Linked DNA regions of Tribolium castaneum. The protein of the gene in region 2 interacts with the protein of the main gene of each other region in a pairwise test. Links are inferred from orthologs where the notes say so. Each region holds a gene or a part of one and is shown on either strand. Other genes may lie near its edges.

Region 1 (4,144 bases), on a different chromosome or scaffold from region 2:
TAAGATACGACGAAAATACGTTAAAAAAAGTAGAGCGTGAGCCGGCTCAAGAAAAAGTTAAAAGTATGTACGTAACTAAGCGCTTATTTCATTTTGTCCCCTTCAGAAATATCGCTGAAAATAATTTGTTTTGAATGTCGAGTTTGAGAGTTTTTTCCGGCACCGTAAACGTGAATGAAAATTATTTATCTTGTACGTTGAACTTGAAAGTTTTTTGGTAGCGAAGATATCAATGCAAACAATTTGTTTGAATGGTGTTAAACTCGAAAGTTTTTTGGAGGAAAAACAGCGATTATACGTCTCTCGCAAAAAAGTATCAGGTGTTCGTATCGTCAATGGCCATTCATTTGTGCGTTCAGCACGTGCGCTCCCAGTTTCTACAAAAATAACACAAATCTGCGAGGAAAAATTGTCTGAGCGCAAATAGCGATTTATTTGGATTTTCAGCTTACTGTAAAAATATTAAAAAAAAATCCATCACGTACAGTTTCTGCATAATAATTCAATGAAGCAGTCTAAGGGCCATTTTTTCTTATGGATTAATAGTTTTTGAAAAAATACAAACAAAAGCAAAATTTAAAAATATATAATTTGCCAATTATTGAAAATTTGGAATTTTCTTGACGTCAATCGATTTTCAAAATCATTTTACACAAGTTCACATTAAAATAAATCTACTTTTTCGAATAATTTAAAAAGTGAGTGTGTGAATATTTCAACATGTTTAGACATTCATCAGGGAATAAAGCTTTCTAAATAATCTATTTAGAAGATTATCATAGCAAATAATAATAATTTATTTACGAGCTAGAAATGGGTTGAGAAAATAACCGAGTTAAGTAAAAATTTCTGGCCCAAGATTGAGCTAAATCACTCAGAAATGGCTGAATCATGTAACTAGGCACAGAACAAAAAAATCAAAATAAATATGTAGACGTATAAATTTATTTATGTCGTTTTGGTCCCTTTTCAAATTTCCTTATTCCTTTTATTTATCCATAATTCATGTTATATATTTTTTCTTTTAAAAACTTGGCAGCTTGTTTCTCTCATGGGCTAAGTTTCTGGTTCAAAAACGAGCTAAAACGCTTGAAATAATCGAAAATAGCGTAAAAAATATGTATGTAACAATCTGACAAGCTTGGGAAAATGATCTTTACAATACTTTTATCTCAAGTAATTTTTTTTAAATATAAAATGAATACTTACTTGTATGTAGGTTTATTATTTGTCTGAAGTTTTTCTTTATTTTTTTCTTTTTATGGGTTAGGTACAATTTTACATCAAATCGGAGCCTTTTTATAGTATATTTTCTTTATATTATAAGAAAAAAACGTTACTACACATATTAGAAAACTATTGCCAAAATAAGGCGTTCTAAAGCAATTTAATAATTTTAAAGCGATTGTAAATAACAGAGAATATCAGTGCAAAGCGTAGTTTTCGTCTCAAATGAAGCCATTTGACTAAATCCCAACCGATTTGGCTCCTTTTTAAGCGAGAAATCGTATTTCAGTGAAACATGCACAAAAGACGTTGTTTTTGGCGAAAATGGTGCGATTTGAACCAATTCCAAACTAGTTCAAGCAAAGAATGACTGTAAATCAATGTGTCAACGGAACCAGCCCAAAAATTGCAAAAAATTTCAACCAAAACTGTATTAGATCTCTTCGCAACAGCCGAAATATAAAAAGATACTATAATTAATTAAAATCAGTGTAATTGATCGTACGTGGGCTTTTTTAAAGTTCACTGAAAAAAGTTTACATAAAAAACGTCCTTGCTATAAGAAGCTGTCCAAACGTTTAAATTTAATTGCACAGCAATTCCCGCTTGTTGTAAAAAAATGTTTTTAACGGAATTTCTTTCTTACTCAAAATAACAAGAAAAGTTAAACTCGCGATTGGTGGTTCAGTGAGTGTAAAAAACAGCCGATGTGTTTGTTGGCCCCACCTGCAGAATGTGGTCCCCGCTCTGGAGCCGTCCGTCCCTGTCGGCCACTCCCCCTGGCAGTATGGTCTTGACGACAACCCCCATATTCCTCATCCCCACGATGCCGAAGCCTAGCCCCGTGCCATCATTGATGAGATCAATGCTCTCGACCTGCGACCATTCGCTGCTGAGCAGGCTGTCGGAGCCCGTTTTGGAGGCGTCGCTCCCTATCGAGGGGGACCTGTGGATGACGTCGTCGTCGCCGGCCCCGAAAGCCTGGTTGTTCTGCAGGAGGCGCAGCGTCTCCTGGTTGCAAATGTTACCGTTTAGCGTTTTGCTGTTAAGGAGTATCATCTTATTGTCAGTGGTGTTGAAGGGATGCACGTGGGGCGAGCCGGGCGAGATGGGGGCCGAGGGCACGCGCTGCTCGTCGAAGTCGCGAGCCGGCTGGTAGTCGTCGGCATAGTCAGGGTCGTACAGCTCCCCGGAAGGGGGCACGTTCAGCACCAACTCGCCAGATGCTGTGATGTCGAAATCTACGGGCAAAATAGAGGGATGCTCGCCCAGTTGCTGGTTCAGTTCGCTTAGGGAGTCTTGCACGGTGACTACGCTCCGAAAGACGGGGTTTTCCAAAACGGAGATTAATAAACATAGGTCCTGATATGTGTTTACTTGAAGTTTCGGATCGCTCAACTCGTCCACTGTCTGTTTTATGTCTTCTAGTAGTTGTAAAGCACTCGAAATATCGGCATTCAAATGCATTATTTCTTGTTTTAAGTAAAATTAGTAAAAGGAAAATAAAATCTAAGTACACGAACACACCCTCAACTTTGCACCCTTTACTTGAAAAACAAAACGAAACGTCAGCTGTCACTTTCCAGCAGTACCAACACCGACAAAACCACTGGACTGGCGAAGTACAAGGTCAAGCAATAAAAGATGTTTTTTTTACTCCTAATTTATTTTATTTACTTAGTATACACAATTATTTTACAGAATATTACATGAACTTAAAGAACGAAAAATGCAACTCTAGTATACTTCGAAAATCAATTTTCCACCGAAAGTAACAAAAATAAGGACATGTATAGATAGAACAGACAGTTTGCGGTCACATTTCATGATGGTCAGAAAAAGAACGATGATTTACTAATGTGAAGAAAATACATTTATCACAAGGCACAACGTGTGTGAAAAAATACATTGTTACACTGATATGGTTAGAAATAAATCTGTAATAGTCGAATTGAGCGTAAAATTAAAGTATCACAAGTGGTTACAAATACTGTTTTTGTAGCAAATCATCTAATATGCTTATGCACGAAACAATGTTCTTGCGTAGTGATAAATATTTTCTCCTTATGGCGTTCAAATAAATGCATGAGTTCGATCAAATGCTAAGACAACATACAAAACAGCAAAGATAGCACATAAATAATTTTGAAGAAAGCTTGTGTATACAGAAAGAGAGGAACATACATACATTTTTACGAACATTAACCCTAAAAACGTTTGTGTTGAACTGCATTTAGGTAACAGTAGCACTTAACTAACTACCCAAAAAATCTACGGTTGTAATCATAACCGCGCTGATCATTCATCCAATCCAACTCTGACACAAAAATATATTAATCTGTTATCAGCCTTTTACATATTTATGACTACAACCGATAGTCAGTACTTTATATTTGAGTATAAAAGTGCTTTAAAAAAGTAATACAAAATACTTATTAATTAAATTCAGTACAAAGTTATCATTTAATTGTAAAATTAGTATGTAGCGTTACTTTATTATTTTCTGCGAGTAATTTAAACTTTTACACCCATTATAAGAGCGAGAGACAGACGAAAACGGAAACATTATTTACAAAGGAAATAAATACAGCCAGTTGAATTGTGCACAATTTTAAAACACTAACACCACTAAATGAATGCAAACGTACAAAACGCCAACTAATCGCTTAGCCAAGACTCTGCGCTTCTGATAATAGGTATAGAATTCACTCTCTAGGTACAGAAGGTTAAAAAATCATAAGAACTGAAGTTTGATTTTCAGATAAGCAAGATTTGGTTTTATTTTACAGAGGTTGAAGAAAGTAAGTTGAGCGCAGGGGCTTTTAATCGCGGCACTCAAACACTTGACTAGTATTCCATTTGAAATAAAACTTCAAAGCAATAAAACTACGAGTGCCCAAAATGCAAAAGTACGTCA
Region 2 (4,223 bases):
TTTTCTGTCATACGAATATATATTTGTACCACAATGGTTTTCATGAAAGTAAACCAAAAGTATAAATTATAGGTCACAAACACAGATTTTCGGGGAAACGATCTTCCAAAGAAAAACGTCGTTTACTACATCAGTGGGTACCTGGCCAGGAAGTGTTTGGGCAAATACACATATACCCAACCTGCAAAGAGTACGCCATAACGATGGATGAACTTGACGCTTCTACACTTTTCACGCACTTCAAAGGACAACACACAGAAAAATCCGGTGGCACAGGTGGGGCAATTCACTTGAAGCGGACCACTCAAATAAATGCGACAACCTGAAATTCGGTTATAATTGTTCTCTTAAAAAGTGTGAATGTAAATACGTAATGATTTGTTTGTGAGCGATTTATTTAAAAAGTTATTGACTTCTAAAAATTGACCAAATATTAAGCATAACGTTTTTGTAAATTGTTTTTCTAATTATACAATATATAACAAAATATTTAAAATGGTGTTTTATACACAAAATTCACTGTTCTTTGTAACTCTAAAATCAAATTTGAAATTTGAAATTTTTTCGTATTGAAAACCGAAAGTGAAGTTTCAAATCCAAATTTTAGTAACATGGACCATTTTTTTAAATTTGTTTTTATTTTAAAAAATAGCTTAAAGTAAATAGAGTTTACACTACAAGTCGCAAAATGGGAGTTTTATTCGTTTAGGAGATATAATACTTAATGTACTCAAAAACGCGTAATTTCTTGCGTAAACCGGCCGATCACGTACATTAAGTACTGTATTTCCTATAGGAATAGAGATCCCATTTTGCGACTAATAATGTAAATCCTAGATTATAAGCAATTTTTTGAAATAAAAAAAAATGAAAAAAAAAATGGTTCAAGTTACTAAAATTCGGATTTGAAACTTCACTTTCGGTTTTCTACACGAAAAAAATTCCAAATTCCAAATCTGATTTCAGAATCAAAAAGCACAGAGAATTTTCTAGATATATAAAGCACTATTTTAATTATTCTGGTATGCATCAGTTTTTTTGAATAAAAGCTTCCAAAAACTGTCTCATATTTCGTCAAATTTTTAGAAGTCAATATCTTCACAAATAAGTGTCATACAAAAAATCATTATGTATTTACAATTATGCTTTCTAGGAGAACAATTATCCCGAATATAACCGAATTTCAAGATACTTTTGGAAAACTTTTAATGCATGTAAAGTCAACACGTATTACTGGTTGCCTGTACTTACCAATTTTGCACATCATCTTAAGAAGTAGATAATGAATAATTTTCAAAACTGATATCAAAAAACATAGAATCAAAAATTCGTATTTTACAAACAAACACACTTGTCAATGTCGCCAATCGGAGCCACCCATTGGTAAAAATTCCCAACTGGGTCAGTTGGCGACCCTGCAATGGGTGTAACTGTCGTTTGTTGACTACAGCTTGAGTCATCAGCATGATTTGATCAAATAATTTCCAATTTTTTCATTTGCAGTGTACACCAAGTGTTCGTTTATTAAACTTCAGTAATTATTTCGTACCAAATCGTGGAATGTAGTAATGGAAATCACGAATTTTCTTTGTTTCTTTTTAACTGTGCTTGGACAAAGTGTGTTTGCAGGTAAATTTCAACTCCAACTGTCATTAAATGTTTATGATATTGATAAGTAGATAAAACATTGATAAGGAATAGATAAGGGAGCTTCAAATATTGGTCATAAAATCATAACCTAAAAAGGTGCAACTTCACCAATATTAGAGCATCGCCAATGTTGGGCCCCTTAATTATTTAATTAAAACAGTTTTCGGTTTATTTTAGTGCATTTTGACCTGGCACCGGTCTCAATTTGCACATCTATTTCCGATAATGTAAATAAGGATGTATATTTCTTCCTTTTTATTGATTTTTCGTACTTAATCACTATTTTTAATCCCGAATCGAACTGACCTCTGTCCTGTTTATGATAAACCGGTTCAAGGAATCAGAAAATTAGAATTTTAAACACTGTTATTTCCGTTTATGAAAATTCGTAACCACTGTTGGCTGTGAAAATAGTCAATTGACAAGTACCCACTCGATTTTTTCATTGCATCCTCAACCCACTTGATTTTTTGATTTTAGACTTCTACAATGAGTACGAATGCAACAACCCGTTACTACAACGTGCCGTTTTAAAGGCCACATCTTCCATGCCGAAAAGGGGTCCCGAAAACGCCGTTTTGTGGGGTAAGTTTTTAATACCTCTCCCATCGTTGAAATATCAATGGAATGGTACTGTAGGTGCCCTTTAACGAGCAAAAATGTCGAATAAAAGTGTCCGTTGGGCTTTCAATTTATCCAAATGGGAGCCCTCCCATTCAGACATGTTGCTAGCAACGTCTTGTGTCCAAGTTGAGGAGAAAGAACGCTTAGCGAGATTTGTGTTCAAAAATGACGTTAAATCGTCGTTAATAGGTCGCTTGTTAATGAGGAAATTCGTTAACGAAGCGACCGGACTCAAATATAACGAAATTAAGTTCGCGCGCGATGAAAAAGGCAAACCGTTTCTTACAAATAACAATTTTCCGATAAATTACAACGTGTCCCATCAGGGGGATTACACGGTGTTGGCTGGGTGTAACAGTGCGGGTTTGTTGGGGGTAGATGTGGTCAAAGTGGAGTTTCCGAGGGGTAAAAGTTTGGGTGAATATTTTAGATTAATGTCGCGGATTTTTTCGGGAACAGAGTGGGAAAAAATTAGGGGGCAAGGTAGCGAGAAAAATCAGCTGGCGATGTTTTGTCGACACTGGTGCTTGAAAGAGAGTTATCTGAAGGCTGTAGGTGTCGGAGTGACGATAAATTTGCAAGATGTTTGTTTTAAAATAAACTCGGATGTTTTGAGGAAAGATCGGGTCGTTGATGATACAGAGGTTTATTTTAGAGGGGAAAAATTAGACTGGGAGTTTCAGGAGATGCTTTTGGATGATCAGCATTGCGTTGCCGTTGCAACGGAGGCGAGCACTGGCGAGAAATTTTTTTTCAAAGAGATTGGTTTTAATGAAGTTATGGAAAACGCTGTTGCTTTGTTAGAACCGGACGAGGATTATTGTAATAGTTTTTTTAAAAAGTGTGACAAAAGTTGATGTAATAAAGTGGGTTTTGGGGGATTTTTGTTTGTTTGTTTTTTTCGTACCATTCCATGATATTTTTACGAGGGTTGTTACGATTGGTACCATTCGTAGTATGGCACAATGTTTTAATTTGATGACCCGATTGCATGCAATTTGATTAGTTTGTCAAGTATTGATTGCATGGAAATTTTGTTTTATTAAGTTCGCATTCATGTTCATGTGGGGGAATCGCTTCTTTTACTTAAAAGTTTAAGAAACGTTTTTTGTTTGTGTTTTATTCTTATTGTTGGTAGTCATAGTTACCAAGTAGTTAGTTATTTTTTGTTGTGTTAAATTAGTCCGATAAATTATAATTTCACTATTAGGGTCGCTAAAACAATAGGGATTTATGAATTTATTCTGCTCTATTGCGGCATTTTACACACATTACCGAAATTTTGTACAAGTTTTTGCGAATAATGTTTGAACATGACACTGTTTAAAATAACCATTACATTTATAACTCAACTCAATGATTACAGATCTTTAAACTGTTATACCAAAAGTATATCAAAGAAAAAAAAATAACGAAAAATCTTCATAAATAATGAATAATAATATGGAAGTTACCTGTTATTAATTTTGGAAGAGGAGAGTTCTAATCTCAAAAACAAGTTTCAGGATCGTTCAAAAATTTCTTATAATTATAATTAATTAACATTACATCATTTTAGGACAAGTGAGCTTAACTGTTTTATGTTAAAAATCTGTAAAAAAATGTTGTTAGCTTCTAAAAATTATTAAATAATAATTAGCAATTCAAATAAACATTATTTAATCATTGTTTATTTTAGAATACATTGGAAATTGTAAAATTTAAAATAAAAGTATTTTTTTAAAACTTCATATTTTGCTATGGCCGAGATAATTTGGGCCGTGTGAATAAACTGAAGTAAATGCTTTTTTGTACTCATAGCTATTTTTAGCTATCTAAAATATTTAAGGTAGCTCCAGCGTGTGGGAAACGAACTTTCCCGCACTGCGGTGTTTTTTACTTTGCAACAATGGTTAGGAACATTTAATAGGTTGGTATCGTTACCCGTTGAGATAGAAACGATAATTTTT

What was found.
Region 1: the proteins of Nrx-IV (region 2) and patj homolog interact in a two-hybrid assay, tested with the Drosophila melanogaster proteins (2 studies listed by BioGRID). The link is inferred for Tribolium castaneum from reciprocal best matches to the Drosophila melanogaster genes Nrx-IV and Patj.

Annotation. Positions count from the first base shown.
Region 1 is NC_087403.1:1,764,374-1,768,517, forward strand, and holds the start of patj homolog, read right to left. Parts: upstream 2,829-4,144; 5' UTR 2,695-2,828; coding exon 1,954-2,694; intron 1-1,953. UniProt on the Drosophila melanogaster protein: Involved in cell polarity establishment. Probably participates in the assembly, positioning and maintenance of adherens junctions via its interaction with the SAC complex.
Region 2 is NC_087400.1:9,577,563-9,581,785, reverse strand, and holds the start of Nrx-IV (neurexin-4), read left to right. Parts: upstream 1-1,415; 5' UTR 1,416-1,568; coding exon 1,569-1,629; intron 1,630-2,130; coding exon 2,131-2,235; intron 2,236-2,289; exon of another isoform or gene 2,290-2,309; coding exon of another isoform or gene 2,310-3,131; exon of another isoform or gene 3,132-3,155; intron 3,156-4,223. Other genes in the region: L-aminoadipate-semialdehyde dehydrogenase-phosphopantetheinyl transferase, read left to right, coding at 2,310-3,131. UniProt on the Drosophila melanogaster protein: Seems to play a role in the formation and function of septate junctions.